3 linked regions of the Oryzias latipes genome follow. The protein of the gene in region 2 purifies or fractionates together with the protein of the main gene of each other region. This does not show direct contact. Links are inferred from orthologs where the notes say so. Each region holds a gene or a part of one and is shown on either strand. Other genes may lie near its edges.

What was found.
Region 1: the proteins of rpp14 (region 2) and pop5 purify together in Homo sapiens (co-immunoprecipitation; 3 studies listed by BioGRID and IntAct, with this or other methods). This does not show direct contact. The link is inferred for Oryzias latipes from reciprocal best matches to the Homo sapiens genes RPP14 and POP5.
Region 3: the proteins of rpp14 (region 2) and rpp40 purify together in Homo sapiens (co-immunoprecipitation; 3 studies listed by BioGRID and IntAct, with this or other methods). This does not show direct contact. The link is inferred for Oryzias latipes from reciprocal best matches to the Homo sapiens genes RPP14 and RPP40.

What each region holds. Positions count from the first base shown.
Region 1 is NC_019867.2:21,474,712-21,481,089, reverse strand, and holds pop5 (ribonuclease P/MRP protein subunit POP5), read right to left. Parts: upstream 3,502-6,378; 5' UTR 3,372-3,501; coding exon 3,352-3,371; intron 3,266-3,351; coding exon 3,123-3,265; intron 2,624-3,122; coding exon 2,474-2,623; intron 2,368-2,473; coding exon 2,284-2,367; intron 2,105-2,283; coding exon 2,001-2,104; 3' UTR 1,691-2,000; downstream 1-1,690. Other genes in the region: rnf10 (RING finger protein 10), read right to left, coding at 1-44, 950-1,103; unc119b (protein unc-119 homolog B), read left to right, coding at 3,951-4,080. UniProt on the Homo sapiens protein: Component of ribonuclease P, a protein complex that generates mature tRNA molecules by cleaving their 5'-ends. Also a component of the MRP ribonuclease complex, which cleaves pre-rRNA sequences.
Region 2 is NC_019863.2:25,337,399-25,344,213, forward strand, and holds rpp14 (ribonuclease P protein subunit p14), read right to left. Parts: upstream 4,498-6,815; 5' UTR 3,606-4,497; intron 3,110-3,605; 5' UTR 2,891-3,109; coding exon 2,808-2,890; intron 2,717-2,807; coding exon 2,632-2,716; intron 1,921-2,631; coding exon 1,844-1,920; intron 1,748-1,843; coding exon 1,669-1,747; intron 1,521-1,668; coding exon 1,464-1,520; 3' UTR 1,433-1,463; coding exon of another isoform or gene 962-1,432; 3' UTR 748-961; downstream 1-747. Other genes in the region: pre-mRNA-splicing factor ISY1 homolog, read left to right, coding at 424-531; hydroxyacyl-thioester dehydratase type 2, mitochondrial-like, read right to left, coding at 962-1,432; MAP kinase-activated protein kinase 2, read left to right, coding at 5,804-6,070. UniProt on the Homo sapiens protein: Component of ribonuclease P, a ribonucleoprotein complex that generates mature tRNA molecules by cleaving their 5'-ends.
Region 3 is NC_019875.2:13,399,343-13,406,275, forward strand, and holds the start of rpp40 (ribonuclease P protein subunit p40), read left to right. Parts: upstream 1-3,173; 5' UTR 3,174-3,291; coding exon 3,292-3,405; intron 3,406-3,800; coding exon 3,801-3,945; intron 3,946-4,029; coding exon 4,030-4,098; intron 4,099-4,197; coding exon 4,198-4,293; intron 4,294-5,304; coding exon 5,305-5,427; intron 5,428-5,552; coding exon 5,553-5,718; intron 5,719-5,788; coding exon 5,789-5,923; intron 5,924-5,990; coding exon 5,991-6,183; 3' UTR 6,184-6,933. Other genes in the region: riok1 (serine/threonine-protein kinase RIO1), read right to left, coding at 1,461-1,551, 1,720-1,906, 2,934-2,986. UniProt on the Homo sapiens protein: Component of ribonuclease P, a ribonucleoprotein complex that generates mature tRNA molecules by cleaving their 5'-ends. Also a component of the MRP ribonuclease complex, which cleaves pre-rRNA sequences.

The sequences.
Region 1 (6,378 bases), on a different chromosome or scaffold from region 2:
ACGCTTACGACTGAAACGTTTCGACCCTCCATTATTTTTACCATCTGAAATTTAGATTAAAAGATAAAAAAATTGTTTAATAAAAGCTTCAATATGCTTTTTAAAAAGTTTTGTTTTTATAAACAGGGGTATAACGCATAATCAACTAAATCAACCATTATATTTCTATGATTCAATTTTAGGTCAGAGAATCGGACTGTATTAAATATGAGTTCAAAATGAGCAAATAACGACTATGAATCCCATCGTCAAGCACAAATTATTATAGGAGTTGAATAGTTAAAATTAAAATCTAATCGTGTGCTTTATTTGATTAAACAAAGAGCTTCTGATTAGAATCATGGCAATAAGTAATGTTCTTAAAAGTTCTGTTATTTTCCCTAATCATAAATAAACTTGAAAGTAAAGAAAGAATGCCTTTGATATATATAGTTTAATCTGAAACTCATTATCTCAAGACTGTATATTAGAGATCGTTATTGTCCTTGTAATTTGTCACTTGACAAAGAAACGTTAATAAGCATTACAAATTAATCTCAGTAACTTTAATTCTGAAAGTTCATAATCAGTAAGAATTTCTGTTATTTTAAAAACCAACTTAATAGAAGTTCTGATTGAAAATAAGTTCTAAAACTTTTATCGGCTTCAGAAGTTTATTAAATGTAACTATTAATGTAATGTAACTAACTTTTAATTGTAACTATTTCCAGAGCAAGTCACTTATGGGTGACGCATCTAAAATTGGATAAAGATCATGGAAGTCAATTGCTTGAAAGAGCAGATGCCAGCTGCAGCTCCAAGAGCTGATAGGTCAAATGGTTTGGGAGTGACGTCACTTGCTGATAAACAACTTGTGCAGTACAGCTAGGCCCCAAAAGGCCACAATGCGGAGCTTATACGCTCACAGCGCCTCGTGCATGTAGCGAAGTGTTCAGAATAAAGACTTTACCGGTTTTGGGTTTAGATTCGCCCGGTGTGGGACCCGCAGAAGTCCAACGGGGCGGAACCTTGGTACTGTTGGGGTTTTTCTCCATGTTTTTCTCCGTGCAGTGAGCTGTGTTGAGGCAGAGCTCCGTGAAGAGAGCCGCTGAGCTCTCTAGCATCAAAAACGGAAAATGGGTTGCAGTGAGCGTAAGTAAGGCGACGACGGCCCTGGTTCATTTCTGTCAAACGCGGAGACCCCATCACGGCGACATCTTGACTATAAACAAACCAGAGGGGAAAAAATAGAGACACGATTTTGGCGTCTCAAGTTACGCGCTGTCAAAGGAAAGAACGAAAGTTCGCCACGCGAGGCCAACCCCTCCCGAACCTAACAGAGTTCGCTTGTAAAGGAATAATAGTTGGCCTTAACAGAGCGTTAAGTGTCTTCCACAAAGTGGAAAACGCGCTATTTGAAAGATTTAGCCAGAAATCTGTATCGAAAATCCAAGGCGTGCTGTAATGGCGACGGGTCGCCAGACAAGAACCCGAGAGCCCCGGATGTTTCTTGTACCGTGTCCCAAACAGCAGGGCAGTATGGGAGATGTAGTAAAATTATTAATTTAGCACAACTTAACTTTAGGTCAAATATTATAAATATAATAGACAATATTAATCTTTAAAACACAAAAATGACATTGACAAGACGTTTGAAACATTTGGTTTTTCATTAAAGATAAAAGACACATCAACACAGTCAAACTCATCAAAATGTTATCAAACTTTTATTTGTCCTTATTACAAGTACTGCAATACCCTTCCGTAAGTACAACTTTGTTAAAAACAAAACAAAGGAATATTTACATTATTCCGTTGCCCAAACAAAAACTATTTTGAAACAAAGTATATAGAAATGCGAGCCTTTTGGTTTGACCCTAAAATATGAATAATACCACATGCAACAAAACATTAAATCCAAATTATTATCTGCTAATTCAACATTTCTGCTGTTTTTCAAAATAGGAGTGTGTAAGCCAATTGGTGAAGAGGGGGCACTATCCACCAGGTATCCACTTTGATCACTCTCTTTCATCTTCAAACTCAGATCCACCCTCGTATGTTGGTTTGCTTCCACGTGTTGGAAGGCAATTAAGAATTTCTTGACAAACTTGATCTTTTTCTGCTGCGAAATAAAAAATACATTAAGAAACATTTGAATAGTTTTCTTTTTACTTAACTAAATCAATACTAAACCAATTCCAAAATTTGATTCCAAATTAATTACTAAGAATTTTAGTTAGTAATGCTGAAAAATGTGAAAAAGGATTCAGCATGAAGGTCTTTATTCAGCTTAATTGTTACCTGCATTTTTACATTTAGGGAGAATTCGTTGGAGCTGCTGGGTGTTGTAGCGGATTAAAAATTTCTGACATGTTCTAATTGTTCCTGAAAAAGATCAGAAAAACAAAAGTGAATTAGAAAGGCTTTTATTTACAACTCATGGTAACACATGCAAGTAAGGTTCCTTCTAAGCAGAGCATGCATGTCCTACCTCCTACATGCAAACAGTTCAGAAAACATGGGATTTGTTGCCCTCGACTTTCAATATTGGTGATGAAAGGTAATGCAGACCAGAGGAGTTGGTAACAGCTTTTAGGGAAACGTAGAAACACCATTCCATTGTGAACATTTAGGTATTTCACTATAAAAAAGGACATACAGAAAAGGTAAAGAAACAAGTGTCTTAACATTTGTTCCAAACAATGTTATAGTTAAATGGATTCACAACATACTTCTATCTTTTTTGTGTATGCTGAAGTAAAGATGGATGCAGACATTTAAAAAAGGAAAATTTAAATAAAAAGGTGCATGAAGAGAAAAAAATGAAACTATAACACAAAGAAAAACTTGTCAGAAATTAGGAGTTAAAAATTTTATTTAATAAGCACTCATTTAATTAAAAAAACGCATTTCATGTATTTTTTTTTAAAAAGTATTTGAAATCTTTACATTGTATGAATTAATGTAACAGTTTACACTGTCTAACAGATTCATTTCTTGGTGTAATGTTTATTTCAGTATTGCTGCTATATTTTGTATTTAAATATTTTTCTTATTTTTGTAGTTTTAATCTTTAATATTTCCTTACTCAAGAAATGAGAAAACAAAAAAAAATGCACAAATCTTGCGCAAATACTCACCAGATAATCGTATACTACAGAGTGCCGCCCCGTAGTCACCGTGCATGCGGGCCACCGCTGATCTCACTGCCCCTGCAACAGCACGGTCATCCAGAAGCAACAGGTCCCTGCTCTCCGAAACATTAACCTCGCACAGCAAATATCTGATGATAATGGGAACACGTTTAGTGAATAATAACCTACAATAACAAAAAATATGGAATAAAGTCTTTAAAGGAGCACGTTTTACCTCGACTTCACCCGCACCATGGCTTCTTCTGCGATGCCGTTCAGAGTATTTCCGTCAACAGATCCGGGTCCTTCGGCTAGCACCGCCCTGTGGGTATGGCTGGGATTCTAGGTGCACTTGGCTTATGACACGGGGCAACACGGAAGTACGTCTCCCAACCAAATGACAATTTAGGAATCCTAATAGGAGATAAAGTTGTTTCACAAACGTAGGAAATGACAAAGAAAAGAAATAACAAGGAAAAAAAGACAAAAATTAACTGCTATAATTAAAAATAAAGTAAAACTTTGACCGTTTAACTCACAACACACGCTCAAAGAAAACGGGGAAACTCGAAAAATAAATTATTCAGACCCTTTTGGTAACCATGACAACGACAGTCGCTTTCAACCAATCAAACTCTTTTTGTGAGATCTTTCACGCCATCTTGAATCTACACTCACCGTTTTTCTTAAGAAGAGAAAAACTGTTTTTATACTTATGGTTTCTGGGATATGAACGTTTCTCGAAATAAGCCCTTACAGGTGACCAGAAAAGGAGGTAGGGAAGCAGACGACGGTTTGGAGACGAAGCAGGAAGATTGAAAAAGTGGTGGAGGCATGCTGAAAAAGCTGAAGTCGAGGCGCAGCCAAACGGAGAAGTGGCCTGTGGTCACGGAGGATGAACTCCGGGCACTGGGGAAAGAAATTTCCCCGGACCATGTGCTGGGTCTTCGGACTGTCACTAAAGGTATTGTTGGTGTTGGAGAATGTTTATTATTATTATTATTGTTATAAATAAAATCCATGTAGTTGCTCTGTTCAATTGAGACAAAGAATGCAGGGCTAAATAAAGTTAATGTTAATCTTTAAACTATTTTAAACATTTCAATACAACAATGCCAACCAAAAAGACAGATTAAGGTAAATCAATAAAATAGACAGTACATGAGTCAAAACCTTTTCTTTTCCTTTTTCTAAATAGCAACAACTTTAATTCTGAAAGTTCATTATCAGGAAGCATTTCCTGTTATTTAAAAACCAACATATTAGTTGCCCGATTAAAAAGAAGCTCAAAAACTGATATATCTGCTTCAGAAGTTAGTGAAAATATGAAACTTTTATTTTCAGACTGTCAAACGAATCCAACACACAAAGAAAAATCCGATTTCAACGACAAAACAATATTTTTAATGTATTTATTTCATTTGAAATTGAAATAGCCACAGCTCCCCGGCCACTTCCTTCACCACCTCTGCAGGGACCCGAGACGTTCCCAGGACAGCCGAGAGATGTAATCTCTCCAGCGTGTCCTGGGTCTTCCTTGGGGCCTCCGCCTCGTGAGAAATGCCCGGAAACCCCCCCCAGGGAGGCGTCCAGTAGGCATCGGACCAGATGCCCGAGCCATCTCAACTGGCTCCTCTCAACTGTGGAGGAGCAGAGACTACTCCAAGCTCTCTGCGGGTGACCAAGCTTCTCATATAGGGGGTTCTGAAGCACCCAGCCACCCTATGGAGGAAGCTAATTTCAGCCACTTGTACACGTTGTTCCTTCGGTCATGACCCAGAGCTCATGACCAAATTATTCCAAAGTATTGGAACGAAGATCGACCATTAAGATGGACCGCTTTGCTTTCTGCCTAAGCTCTCTCTCCACAATGGACCAGTACAGCTACCGCATAATGGCGGACGCCGCTCCAATCCACCTGTCAATTTCATGCTCCTTTCTCCCTCATTCGTGAACAAGACCCCAAGATAAATAAACTCCTCCACCAGGGGCAGGGGCATTCCACCCACCCAGAAAAGGCAAACTACCTATCTCCAGTCAAGAACCATGGCTTCAAATTTGGCGGGACTGACCCTCATCCCAGTCGCTTCACACTTGGCCGCAAACTGCCCCAATGCATGCTGGAGGTCCTGGCTTGATAAAGCCAACAGGATAACATAATCTGCAAAGAAAGTAGAGGAAATCCTGTGGTCCTCAAACCAGATCCTCTTCTCCCCATGGCTGTGCCTAGATATTCTGTCCATAAAGACTATGAACAGAACCGGTGATAAAGAGCAGCCCTGCACCGGGAACAGATTCAACTTACAGCCGGCTATACGAACCAAGCTTCTCTCCTAGACCAGAAAGCCCTCAGTAAGGCTCCCCGGACCCCAGATTCCCAGAGCACCCTCTTTAGGACACCACGAGGGACGCTGTTGAACGCCTTCTCCAAATCCACAAAACACCTGGACTGGATGAGTGAACTCCCACGAACCCACCAACACTCTGGTGGGTTTGTGGGAGTTCGCAAAGTTGATCATTGACCTCCTGACTAGAGTGTCCTGATGCCACATGTTCAAACATATAGTTTGTTATAGACAAACTGTGATGAGCACAGCAGTCCATCAACAAAACACCGTTCAGGTTCAGATCAGGGAGGCCATTCCTACCAATCATGCGGCTCCAGGTGCCGCTGTCATTGCCCACCGGGGCATTGAAGTCCCCCAGGAGGACAAGGAAGTCCCTTGTAGCGGCACTTCCCAGTACCCCATCGAGAGACAACAAGAAGGCCGGGAACTCCAAACTGGTGTTCCGCCTGTAGGCTGAAACCACAGCCAGAGACTTGTCCCCCTACCCTAAGAAGGACCATGACCCTCACGTCCTCCGGGGTAAACTCCACCACTTGGCGGCTGAGCTGAGGGCTCATGAGTAAGCCCACACCAGCCTGCCGCCTCTCACCATGAGCAACTGCAGATTGGTAGAGTCCAACCCCGTTCGAGGGACTGATTTTCAGAGCCAAGACTGTGCATGGAGGTGAGCCTAACTATATCTAGCTGGTACCTCTCAACCTCCCACACAAGCTCAGGTTCCTTCCCTCCCAGAGAGGTGATGTTCCATGTCCCAAAAGCCCAGTGCCATGACCAGTGTTTGGGCTGCCGAGGCACCCACCTTCGACTGCCACCCAAAGCACATTTGGCCCCTTCGGAGCGCTCCTACAAGTGGTGGGCCCATGGGAGAGTGATCCCACATCATTTTTTCGGGGCCCGTGGGAAGAGGCCAGGAC
Region 2 (6,815 bases):
TTGGAAGTCCACACCTCACGCTATCAATCGAACTGTTAAACAGTTCGAACAAGAGATACGTGGATACATCAGAATTTCCTGAACCTAAGAAAATCTCTTTATTTTTTTTGTAGTTGTAATAAAATAAATCACTTCCTGTATTCCGGGTATCATTCACTATTTTGTCATCTCCTTCGTGTTGGGTGAAGAACACAAGCTCTTTTTTTGGTTATCATTCATCTGATTGGCTGATTTGCCGATTGGGTGAGAGTGAAAGGCTGCTGATTGAGAAGCAAAAGATTGAATTATAACTAAGAGTACCATACTTTTTTCTTTTTTTTTAATCATTCACTCCATCAGAGTAAGGAACTTCCAATGGGGTTTTATATTGCTGTTGCATAAGAATATGATGGTCTACATCCATAACATTTGTTTCTGCCCCAGGTGGAGGAAGCTCTGGTAAGGAGGAAAAAGATGGAGCTGCTGCAGCGTTACGCCAGTGAGACTCTTCAGGCTCAGAGTCAGGAGGCCAGAGCCCTGTTGGGTCTCTGATCATTGTTCTACTTGTGTGTCCCACTTTGCTGCTCCGCTCTCAATAAAGCTTCTTCTTTGCTATTTTTACAAACTTGTTTGTGCGAGTCTTCAATCGAACCCCATCATCTCCTGACAGACAATCCTGTTTCCAACCATCATTTCTGCTGCATGGATACTCTGAGCAGCAGAAACTTCGGGGACTTTTAAACCTGAACAATACAAACACTTAACCTGTTATTTTTATACAATAACTTTAATCACCAAAAGACAAAGAGCATGCTGAGGTGTAATTACAAATTCTAAAATGTGATCAAACTTGAAAAGTTAGAAAAATAACTTTTTCTAATGAAGAAAAACAAAAATTCAGCTAGACGACTGACACGCGTCTTTAGACCTCATTTAAAACCAAACTTGAAACCAAAATCTGCTGCATCTGGATGTCCTCCAGTCACTTTCCCTGATGCTGTTGCTCCACAGGCATCATCACCATGACCTCCCCCTCCATCACCACTTTGTCCTTAGCAGAGCACCTCACAGAGATGAAGGCGAACGACATCTTGATTTTGAACACCTCTGCTTCTGCCAGCACCTCCTCTCCAACGTAAAGTGGTGCCAGGAAGCGGATCTCCTGGTGCAGGAAGACGCAGCCGGGGCCGGGCATCTTGGTGCCGAGCACGGCCGAGATCAGCCCGTTGATGAGGACGCCGTGCACAATGGGCGTCTCAAAGGAGGTGGTGCTGGCGTATGCTGGGTCCACATGCAGCGGGTTGGTGTCGCCTGTGAGCTCGGCGAATAGCTCGACGTGGCGAAAGGAGAACGTTTTGGTGAGGGAAGCTCGCTGTCCGACGTGGAGCAGCCGGTTGTGAGGACGAGCCGCCGCGACAGAAGACAAACCGAGTTTGATGATGTTTCTCCACATGGCTGCACTCAAACCAGAAGCAGCTCCCGCTTCAGTGGAGCTGCAGCTCACGACTGTTTCCTGTCAGCGCCAACAGGAACGGAGACACCTGAGAGCAAAGTGGGGAGTTTTATTTACATCTGAATAGCAGGTAAGCAGATTTCTCATTTTGAGTTAAAACCAACAGTAATTTGATCGCTCCACTGACAAAATGGTTTATTTCACAATCACCAAATGTAGAAAACATGTTTCCTGACCTGCAGCACCCTGAAGGCGCAGCTCTGGTTCTGATAAGAGCCGAGCAGAGTCAGGGAGCTCCACAGTTTCACTAAACCACTGGGGGGGGGGGGGAGAAAAGAGCATAATTAACACAACATTCACAAACTTTGAAATGTGAATTAGAAATTCTGACAATTATGCCTTTAGGCTGACCTGCTGTGAACACGCAGAAGAGCCGTCAGACTTCCTTCATCATACTTCAACACATCAAAGTTCAACGCTGCTCCAACCTGAGGTACATTTATGCAAACAGCAGCATTATAAAAGCGTTTCCAGTTGACTTTTCATTGTGATAGTGCAGTCGTTGATTTTTCCAGCCAAAGTGAAAAAATCTGTGTTGCTTTCTAGGACATAATTTCTGCAGAGCAGCAAAACTTCGTTAGAATTCTCAGAGTTGCAGGTGGGACTGTTGGCATGGAGTAAACCTACCATCATCCTTCTGTTTAAACACTCTCCCACTAGCTTACAGCCTCTCACAACCCCAGCCTAACATTAAAGGTGCAACAAAAATGGAGAGCAATATTGGAGCTTTCCAGACGTACAGTTTTGAGCCAAATACCAGCTCGGACGAGGAAAACAAAGACATACACGGATCTATTCGACTGTGTGTGGATGCATCAGAATGGAGTGGAGCAGGGGGCATGCGGCCTGCCAATTGTAATTTCTACGTAAAAATACAACCTTTTTTTAAACTGCATTTTATTTCGTCTGCTTCTGATTCCCAACTATTTGAACACATACTTTGAAATGCGATTTTTAGATTAATGTTCTTATTATATGTCCTCCATCATCAGAAAAATGCCCCAAGAACATGTTTAAAAGACCATTTTCATCTAAAGGGGTCTTCAATGGAAATGCATTCATAATGGTATTCAGCGCTTCATTGCGCTGACAGCTCTTATTTTTGAATTGAGTTCTTCTTTTTCAGTGCACAATCTCACCTCTCCATGAAGATTCTTCAGGCCTGCGATGATGAAGTGTTTCAGCTCTACTGCACTCAATCTGTTTGAGTTATCCTCCAGTTCACTAAACACAAGTGGTAACATACAGATGAAGTTCCCTTCTAAGAGCTGGGCAGACACTAAAGACAGAACATTAATCTTGAACAGAGACTCACAGGTGGACTTTCATGTAGTGGTGCGGTGAAGCGTTCTTCAACACGACACGGTGAAAAGTCTCCTCTTTGTTGATAGCTTTCATTTTAGTGAAACATCAGTGACTCCGTCAAACTGAAACAAATAAACCACAAAAATCTGTTTCCCGAAGAACCAACATGCTGTTTTAAGCAGAGATTACTGATGTGCGTGTGTCCTTCTGAATGATTTGCAACACAGGTCTCAGACTGCAGTCCTCACGCGGTCGATGTCACGCTTGTGTTTCTGCTCTTTCAGCTTCTTCTTGTTGGAAAAACACCTCAACCTGATAATCAGCAGGAGGCCTGGAGGTAAACAACCCTGACACAGAAAATCTTTCCAAATGGTGTCAGAAATGATAGAGCACAAAATTAAATCTTAAAATTTTGTAAATTGTGGTACATTTGTAGTATTTTCCTTTAACTTCTCTCTCTTGGTGTGTTTTATTTTTTATTGATGTTTTACAATTTCGCCGTTTAAGCTAGTTTTTGTTTGTTGTTCAGCTTCCTATCTGGATTTTTGCAAACGTTTAAATATCCAAATCTTTTATTGTTCAGAATTGTTCCACAAAAAAACAAAAGATTTAAGTGTTAAATCAAAACGAAAATTGAAAAACAAAAAAGCCAAGGTCGAACCACCAACCACCAGGAAAGCGAAATATTTACTAGCCAACTCAAATTAAAGTTAGCACCTACGTTGTAAGATGTTAATTCTCCCAAGATACGGACAATAACTGCCCGGATTTCAATATGTGTATACTTAATATAATACGTTGCACTCACCACCACAGTTTTACCAGTTTGAAGTCACAGTTGCATGTTTTCCTTCGACGGGCGCCGCCATGAAAACCTCAGCAATGCGCGTGCGCAACTCCAGCGGAAATGATTTTTTTCTTCCTAAAACTTTATTTCACTACTACAGGATACAAAACAAAAGGACTAAAAACATCCAGGTAAATATAACAGACGAATAAAACAAGAAAAGTTGAACAAATAAAAACAAAATAAATAAAAACTATATAGGTTATTGGGTTACCAGCGTTAAAGAACAATACTTTAGATTTTTACAAGAAAGAGTGTTATTAAAACAAATAAAACTGATCATTTCAAGTCGTTTCTGTAAAAAAATGTAATGCAGGTATACAAATAAATATCATCCAATGATCATGCAAAAGGTTTGAAGATTAACTACAAATTTTGCACATGTATGATAAATGGTGGAGTCTCAAAGAATGTTGTGCAAAAAATGTAAGAATTACATTTAACATTGTTAAAAGCAAACATTCTTTTCATGGGCATGAACAGGTTCAAAGATTTCTTCATTGTCATCTGAGGATAACAGTTCCACGGTCAGAGCAGCTGCAGGGAAACTTTCCCTGTCCTTGGGTGAATTCTTTTTCTTTTTTGTTTTTTTGTAAATGTGCTGAGTGCCAACTTAAAGGAAATTACTGAACCTTTAGAAGTTGCTAAAAAGTATATTCCAAGTTAATATTTTAAACATTTTAAACATAGTTTTACTAGCAGAGAATGGAAGGAGTAGGCTAGATCGAGTGCATATCAAACTTGCTTTTTCTCTTGTTACTTGTTGCTATAACATGAATGTCTATTATCAAATAATTTTCTCTGTATTGTTAAGCCAGTACTGTTCCCTAATTCCTTCATAAAAGTTTTATGATTGTCTCATCCACACACAACATAAAAAGAAACATCCAATAAAAAATATCACCCCCCCCCCCCCACCACCACCCTTTTTTAATAAAAGGCAGAGTACGCTGATTTGTGTAGCACCACAGAAGCAATTTCAGGGAGAGATGCTTCTACAGCATTAGCCAACCAATGCAATCAAAATAATAAATGCCACTTTAGTCCCAAAAAGTTTTTATTTGTCTTGTTTACACATATTAATGACTGGTGCACTGCAGGATGCAAATAAAAACTCATGCCAAACTAATATACCCCAAAAAAAAAAGTCAAAGTACAGAGCCCTGGACATGACATTCAAAGTTAATGAGTAGATTGTTCCCTAAGAACAATACTTTTTGACCACAAATTGTAATTTTGTGTGCACTAATTTGTATTTTGTTGCCACAAATTGGTATTTTATTGACAACAAATTGGTATTTTATTGACAATTTGTGGGCACAGATTAACTTTTTGTTTTGAAATTGTAACATTTTGTCGCCTCAAGTGAGCATTTTGTGCACACAAATTACTACTTTGGTGTGATTAATTCCTTAAAAATTTATGGCTACAGAATATTAATTTGTAGAACCTAGTTTGTGGCCACAAAATGCCAACAAAGTAAAAATTTGTGTCATGTCAAGGGGTCAAAGGAACCCTTTTTCCCACAACAGTGATACAAAATGCGTGTTATTGTCTGGAATTTATTGAAGTACAATTTGAATAATACTCTGAGAGTTAGTTGATATTTCTAGAAGTTTCTTGTTTTTACACCAGTCTGAAAAAACTAAATTTGAGACTTCTTGGCCTCCACAGATCACTAGCAATGAATGAAATGCCACTGAAAAGAAATTGATCAGTGTGTTTGAGTCCGGCTCCTTTAAAGCTGTCGCCTTGAATGAATGAATAAAGGAAGGAAGGTGGGGCTTAAACAAACAGTGACAGGAGCTGAAGGAACACGTGAGAGTGACTGAGACTCAAGATCAACTGCAGGTCGGAGTTGCTGGTCTGTCAGTGTCACAGACAGCAGACCGGACTTTTATTTTCGGTTGTTGTAAACCGATCCGCTTCGATTTTTTTGGGAGAACTCTCCTGACCGGACAGGTTACTTAAGCCGTATACTTCAGGTTTGATCGATAAGAGAGAAAAACTTGTTTTTTTTTTTTATGTGAAATACTTTAGCGAGTTTTACTAAGATTTCCTTTGGAGTCCTGGACGAGCCGATGCGGCGCGGCTAGAGGTCTGGTCCGGAAGGGTTGCTGGAGAATTGACCTCCCCCTGTAAGATCCCAGGTGCTGAACATGCTTCAAAATGGAAATATTAAGGAGGAAAAGCTGCCGCAACCAGAAGAGACGGGGGAGACGAAGGGTGACTCACCCGGTCCCGCGGCGGACGACAAGGACTCCGAGCCCTCACACTTCCCCATGCCGGTTCACACCAAACTGGAGATAAAACGCAACGCAGTGACGGACGATTACAAAATCTCCAGTCAGGTTCTGGGCCTGGGGATCAATGGGAAAGTCCTGGAGTGCTTCAATAAGAAGACTGGAGTCAAGTGCGCGCTGAAGGTAGTGAAAAAAAACAGTCCTGAAGCTTTCCATTCTGAGAGCAGCTGACGCACACAGTGGACGGCGGAGCGCAGACTGTCGCTGTAATTACATAGATAGTATAGTATTGCATACACATGCAGTCTCTTTAGGTGTTGCAAATGCATGCATGACTAAAGCAACACACAGCCATATGACAAAGTAAACATTACAGTCAGCTCAGAAGGAAACAGATGAGGAAGTTACTTCAGTGTCACATGTACTTGGAAATAATAGAAATATTTGTTTGGATAACTGACATTCACTAAGTGAATGGACAGAAGAACCAAAAAGTGTTGCATTTATTAAAGCTCAAAGGTGATTTAAAAAAAGTCATCTTTGCTAATACATATTTATTAGAGGTGTAGCGTTTCATTTCAACAGCGATTCGATTTGTATAGAATTACCGATACTTTTCAAGATTGATTCATTTTGAACGATCCAATTCACTGAGCTACAATCTATCCAGGATGTCTTTAGCCAACAATTCAGACTCAGACATAAATACCTGCGTTCTGAACAGTGCAGGTGACGATTCCTTGTATTTCTTGCAAGATAATCAAACTAAGTGTACAAACACATACGTAAACAAGAATTAATGGCAAATCCATTCACAATTTAGTTTCCTAAAGTTCAGCCCACTGTTTTTTTTCCACATCAAAATAATACAAACTATTAGAAGATACTACCACCCTGTATGGTCTTGTGTCTTTGAAAATTTCAAAGT
Region 3 (6,933 bases), on a different chromosome or scaffold from region 2:
CAGTCAAAACCTGATATTTGACCGTATCAAAAGCAGCTGTTAGTCTGCAGACATGAGCATTAGACCTTTTTAAAAGAGCAGCCTCTGAGTGGTTACAAAGTAGACCTTGAATACGGAAAAAATATGAACAGACCAAAAACTGGAAAGAATTGGAATATTAGATCTTCAAGAACAGAAGACATTCCAGAACAACAACAGACGTCGTAGAGCAGAACACCCTCTAAAACACTAGACATTCTAGAACAAAAGATATCTTAGAACCAAAACCTTCCAGAGCAGAAGACTGACTAAAACAGTTATTATCAAGAGCAGAAAATCAAACTAGAATCCACTCGAAAACAAAATCCATAATAGAACAGCAGACTTCATAAAATGGAAGATAAAAAAAAAAGAATTTCCAAGAACAGAATGTCTCCCAAAACAAAAGACCTTCTAGGAACGGAAGACAAAGTAAAATCGAGGATCTCCTGAAACAGCAAAACGACTAGAACAGTAGACCATCAAGAATGGAAGACCTCAAAGAACAGAAGAACCAAAAAAGCTCTAGAACAGAAAACCCATTAGTCCAGAAGACAATCTTAGAACATAGGTCTTTTAGAACAAAGACCTTCAGACTATGCGACCAAAACAAAAATCTTTGCAGAACAAAATGTTTTCTGGAATTAAGACTTTCTGGAAAAGAAGATAGTAGAATAATATCTATCATTGCCTTGTTTTTTAACCTATTTATGTGTTTCAATAAAAATGCTAATGTAAACAAAAACATCAACAAAAACAGTGGTAGGTTAACTTTCTTGTATGAAATTGTGTTTGCCTCTAAAAATAAACTCCATCTTCTCTCATGTAGAGGAAATCAGGGCGGGGCTAATACTTTTTCACACATCCATAGGAGATTATTCAGAACTATCAGCCATCTTCTTACTGGAGATTGTTTGACCTCACAGAGGGGCAGACACTTTTTAAGGTCACACCATGTCGGACAGGAAAACCAGAACTAGGGCTGCACGATATGAGGAAAACTTGCGATATGCGATATTAGAGATTAATATTGCGATAACGATATAATTTGCGGTATATAAAAAAATAGAAAAATGCCAAAAACACCATTCCCATTTGATTAGAAACAGTTTAAAATTACACTCCAAATGACCCTCATTGACATAGGTGACAAACATCTAACATAATAGGCCTCCATCTGATTGGTAAACAATGGGAAGGCGTCCATCTGATTGGTCAAAGCATAAAGGGATTTATTTGATTCGTTAAATGCTTCAAGCTGCTAGAAGATTGTTTTAACACATTTTGGGTTTACGATTTATTGCGATATTCGCAGTCTTTTGCGATATGCCTATTGCAGAGCTGGATATTGCGATAACGATAAATTTGCGGTATATTGTGCAGGCCTAACCAGAACCCTCCACAGCTGTGGTCTATGCATGTGAGTGTGCACGTGTGTGTACCCAGGTTGATTTTGTGTTCGTATTTCCTCAAAGCTTTGTCAGACGGGGTCGAGGACGAGATCATCTTATTCGACGGGTTCTGTCTGTTTGCCTGAGAACAGTGACAGAGAAACAAAAGGGCAGTGGGATCAGACTCATTATCACTGATAAATAATTCTGAACCGTGACCGTGATGTGACTTCTTTAACTGAAAAGGAACCAATATACCCTAACTGACATTTAACATGGCAACTAAATTTTAATGTATCTGGATCAGAACCTGGCAGTTGAGGCCGCTCCGGTTTAATCTGCTGGTCAGATTGGCAGCAGAATGGTACGCCCAATCCTCTTCATCATCCTCATCATCATAATCATCATCCACTTCGTCCTCCTCCTCATCACTGTCGACCCTCTGCGCAGCGACATCATTGATGAGGCTTGGTAGCAACGAAGGCTCTGATTGGTCTCTGCAGGAAACAGAAAAAGACAGACTGAGAAAGAACCAACAGGGAGGAAGAGTCCAGACCCTCAGCCAATTACAGGGAAGATATGTTCAGGTGGTGTTTGCACCTGAAAATATGTAGCCACAAGGCTACATGAGTAACACTCGAGCAGATCACTTTTGTGGACAAAAACATGTATTTGTGTAGGTAAAATTTGTGCACGTCGCTCTAATCTTGTGATTAGGATTGAAGGCAAAATAATACCAATTATGGTCAAAAAACACATTAAAATCTCTTCAGTTCCTCTATCGTTGGTCCCAAACATGGCTCCCTACTTGTGACAACATTTTCTAATGCTTACACGGCATTAAAAATCTTAAACTGCCACAAATGGATGTTGTTTTGTCAGTGGGTATGAGGCTTTGATGGTTAGAAAAGTCCAAAAAATAACATCTGAACTCAAATAGGCATAACTGTGAGGAGATACAGCCCAGAAACCTGGAGAAGACCCTCTGGAGAGAAGGTACTTGCCCCATTTGGTTACCATGGTAACAGAGAAGGCATCATCTGTCCTCCTGCACCATAAAAATCAAAGTCTTTGCAAGACCCAAACCACAGGAGGAGACAATTGTTCATGAAACACTGAGGATTTTGGATCTTCTGAAAGCTTTGGCAGTCATTTCTTATGGGATCACAGAACCAGGCCGTAACAGGTGAACCTGACAGAAGACACTGTTCTGCTCATGGGGTCGGTTCTTTCTTTTTGGCAGGATGATTTAGGTTCTGACCCGGATTAGACACTCACTGAGGAGCTGGTTTTGGCCTTTCCAGGTGCTGACTAAACTAAACAAGCCAGTCAAAATGATTCATCAGAAATGTTAGTACATGGATAATCGACTACTGGACCACTCAGAACTAGCGTTTGGGCTTGGACCCATACGACCTTTTTTCTGACATGGGGACTAGATTTTTTCCTGACGACACAGACAGAGCGACAAAGAGAACCAAACCAAACCAAACCAAACCAAACCAAACCAAACCAAACCTTTACCTGTCTACCTCAGCGTCATCAAACTGTCCAGGAACGCACGTGACCTCCTCCATGAACCCACAGCCCACGCAAAGTAATCCCGCTGTATTTGGTTGATAAGAAGCCCACCTTCACCGGGCCGCCTTGTTCGGGTGGTATAGAAGTCAACAGCGTGCTGCTCCTTCAACTTCCGGCTCTGATCACGTGACTACGGCGAACAAGAGGGGCCAACCCATTGCGGCTGCGCAGTGCTGCGTTCTGACCAAACCTCCATGTGTTTCAGTTCGCTTCCGGGTTTCTTGCCTTGCCTCCTGCATGCTTTAAAGTGAGAACATTTCCCGAGGCCCCGTGTCTGAGATCGTGCAGGAACTGCATCAGGATGCAGGACCTGAGCCGATGTCCTCGGAACCTGCTGGTCTGTGAGCGGTCCAGCTTCCAGAACGAGAAAAACAGGGTCAGCGCACAGGTGGAGCAAATGCATTTTAACTACAAGGTGAAAATTAAAATATTCAAGTCCGCATGTGAATTAGTTTAAGGAAGCAGAATGATGCATCCTCTTGACAAACTGTTTTTGAAGGCAACATTGAGAGATATATTCCCGTGTTTCTGAAGGCAGCACCGAGGGACATGATACTACTCCTGTCCCTGAAGGCAGCAAAGACTGATGATCTTAAGTAGTGCTTTTAAAAGCAGCATGGAGTGATGTTAAGTTCTTGAAGGCAGCATCAAAGTATATTCTTCTATGTTTAATATTGAATCATAGAGACTGCTGATTGGCCGTTCCGTCTTTTATTTTGGCAGGTCTTTGCGAAATTCAGGAAAATTTAGTTAAAAATTGTGACCTGTCACTGAAACAGCCACGATCTACTGCTTCCTATGCCTGTGCAGGTGTCTCTGCTACTGCCTGATTGTAGCTCCGCCCCCTCCCATCTGGATGAAACATTGAAGTCATTCAACAGTTTTTACCTGATTAAGAAGCTGCCCATCTACAAGCTGCTGAATGAGAACTTCCTGCGGAGTGCCATCTACAACGGTAACAAAACGCCCGTCTTCACTAAACCTAGCTGAGACCTGCTCTCATCTGGTCACATGACTCACCTGTTCCTATGTGCTGCAGGCAGCGTGTATGGTTTATCCCACCAGACTCGCATCGACGAGGATAACTGTGTCTCCCTAATGCCCAACGGTAAAAAGCATCACTTCCTGTTTGTTGTGTGGATCTCCATGGTCAAATGACCCTTTTCATCTGTTCTTGGATCACATGATCTTGTCTGTCTGTCCTCAGGTATCTTGACCCTGTCCCTGGACAAAGACTCTTTTGAGCTGCTGGGCTTCGAGGGGAAACCATCAAGGTTTAACCACAGGCGTTGCAGCAGATTTGGTTTGTTATGCACAACTTAACAATTTCTAAAGCGTTAGTTCACAACGAAGGTGGTGTCAAAGCACTGAGGGGTTTGCTGTGTAATCCCTGTACTGAGCAAACAAAAGCGGACAGTGGAGAAGGAGAAATTGGTGGAAAACGAGGAAGAAACCCGTTGCAGAACTAGATTCCATAAAACCAATCATCTGCTGTGACTGATTGGAGTCTGAAACTACTGGCACACTGGTCTTATGATGCACATTCTTGAATGCACGTTTAGCGCATGGCATTCACACGAGAGAAGCTGGGAGGGGCCTCTTCTTATTTTTCTTGTTCTATTTACTTCGCCACCTACAGTTGGAAGAGGCTTGGTGTGAAATCCCTAAGCGGTGCAAATCTCACGTAGCTATCCAGGCTTTTTCTTTCCCAGCTCTATTCCGACATATGAAAGACTTGGTGTCATATAATTCCGATCGGGCACAAACCACAATTATTAATTTCGCCTCCATGATTAATTTATAGCTGTTAGACAGGACAAGTTAAAAAAGCTTGCCCTGTCCTCTCCGTCACGCAGCAGACCGGCTTTTCCAAACCCGTTGGTGATGGTAGATTTTTTTCACACTGCTTTTAACTTGAAAGCTGCGTCATATGCATTTATTCTTGCATTTTCAATGATGAGGGTCTGTTCGTGCTATTCATTCACAAAGCAGGAATTTACATAAAACTTGTGTCTTCCTCGACACATTTACCGTATTCCCCCTGTCTCACTCTAACCCTCTCTGCTCGAGCGCCCCCTAGTGGCTGTTCGAAAAAAATGCCTTAAAAAAAGAAGGAAAAAAATGCATAAATTAGCCGCATCATTGAATAAGCCGCAGGGTTGAAAGCGTGTGATAAAGGTAGCGGTTTATAATCTGGAAATTATGGTACATAGAGACGCATGTTATGTAAGAACAGAAGAAACCAGCAACAAAATGAGGATCTGACAGAAATGAGTGAGCAGATCCTTTTTCTGTGCACCTGTATGAACTTCAGTGGTAACTGTGAACCTAACGGACAGCTGCATGGCTCCTGGAAGGCGGAATTACCTCAGACTTCTTGAGGGTCTGAAGTCACGCCTTCCGCTACAAACGGACTTCCTGTTGTCACATCATCCAGGTGAGTGACTCCATATTCCAGTTCAGTTCAATTTAATTTGTATAGCCCAAATTCACAACAACAGTCGTCTCAATGGGCTTCATATAGACATATGAGACCAAGCTGTGTCTTTCTCTGTCTTGCAGGGGGTGGGGCTTCTTTGCATCCCCTTTTGTCTTGCTGTGATTGGTCAGAGCACCAACCTGAGGTCAAATTCCGCAGCCTGACCAACGTGTCCTTTCCTGTCCCCGAGTCATGTGACCCTCACAGCTTCCTGCAGTGGTTGGGTGCGGTGGAGTCCGGCGTCAGCGGGTATGGCGTTCTTTCGTCGTTAGCTCATCACACAACGTGGTTGCATGATGCGTGCATTTCTGGGTTTCAGTGAGAACTCGTCCAACAGCTTCCTGTCCTCACTGATCTGTCCGGAACCGAAAACTCAGACCAACTGCGCTCTGAGCGCGTGTGTGAGCGGCATGCTGCTACCGCAAGACATCCAGCGCCTCATTGGTCAGCTCAGGTCAGCTGATGGTACACATTCAAAGCATGTGGGAGTGGGCTTGGTGTGTGACTCGCCTGTCTCGCAGGAGTCACCTGGAGCAGGTCCAGTCCTGGGCGGTGCTGACAGTTCACGGTTTCGCGGACAGCCCCGTGTCCTGGGGAGGGAGAGAGCATGGATTTCTTCGAGGAGGAGAGAACTTTTACAGCCTGCTGATGTCCCACGACCACACCTACCACCTTCACTTGGCTGCCGGCGCACACGATGCCTGCCCACCGTGATGCCACTAACCCATCAGAACCAAGAGAATTGACTGAGCTCAGACAGTGCTGGAGGCCTGACCTGTGGCTTATTCAACCTGTTAGAACTTCACCAGATCAGAACCAGTGTGCAATTAATTTAGTCTTGAAATTCTTTAGTTTGTTCCGGACTAGCAGTTCTGGTTCAACCCATGACTTACTTATCAGCAATACATTGGGAACAGAAGCAGAACCCCTGTTAGAACTAGTGCTTTTCAGTGAGAGCAAGGGGATCTAACCCGGGTCAACACACCTTTTGTGGATAGTTGAGCTGCAGCAGAACCACAGAGGCTGAGAGAATGATGTGTGGAAGATCTGCGCCTGGCATGCCTTGGTAAGCAATCAGGTGGTTTTCTCGACTTTAAAACGTTATGTGTCTGCCTTATTTGTCTGAGGGCGTGTAGGGTCAAATCCACTCTGCTCTCCAGGTAGCTTTTTCGTTTTATACATGTAAAATGGGTGGGCAAATGGTATATAATTTTTTTTCAGCAATGGTAACTAGTTTCATTTATTTTGAACCCTGGAACTGAGTCATTTTCTGACTGCACTTTTGGATGCAGTGCCATTTCCTGCCATGGGGTGGTGCCGCCGAGACGCCATTTTCTTTGAATAAATGTCATCATCGTCTTCACTGAATTCCATTTCCCAGTTACCATGTTGAATTTTGTTTCTCCGACAGGGATGTGCGAAGGGTTTGGGAGCGTCAGGTGAGTTCTTTGTGGACTCAGGTTC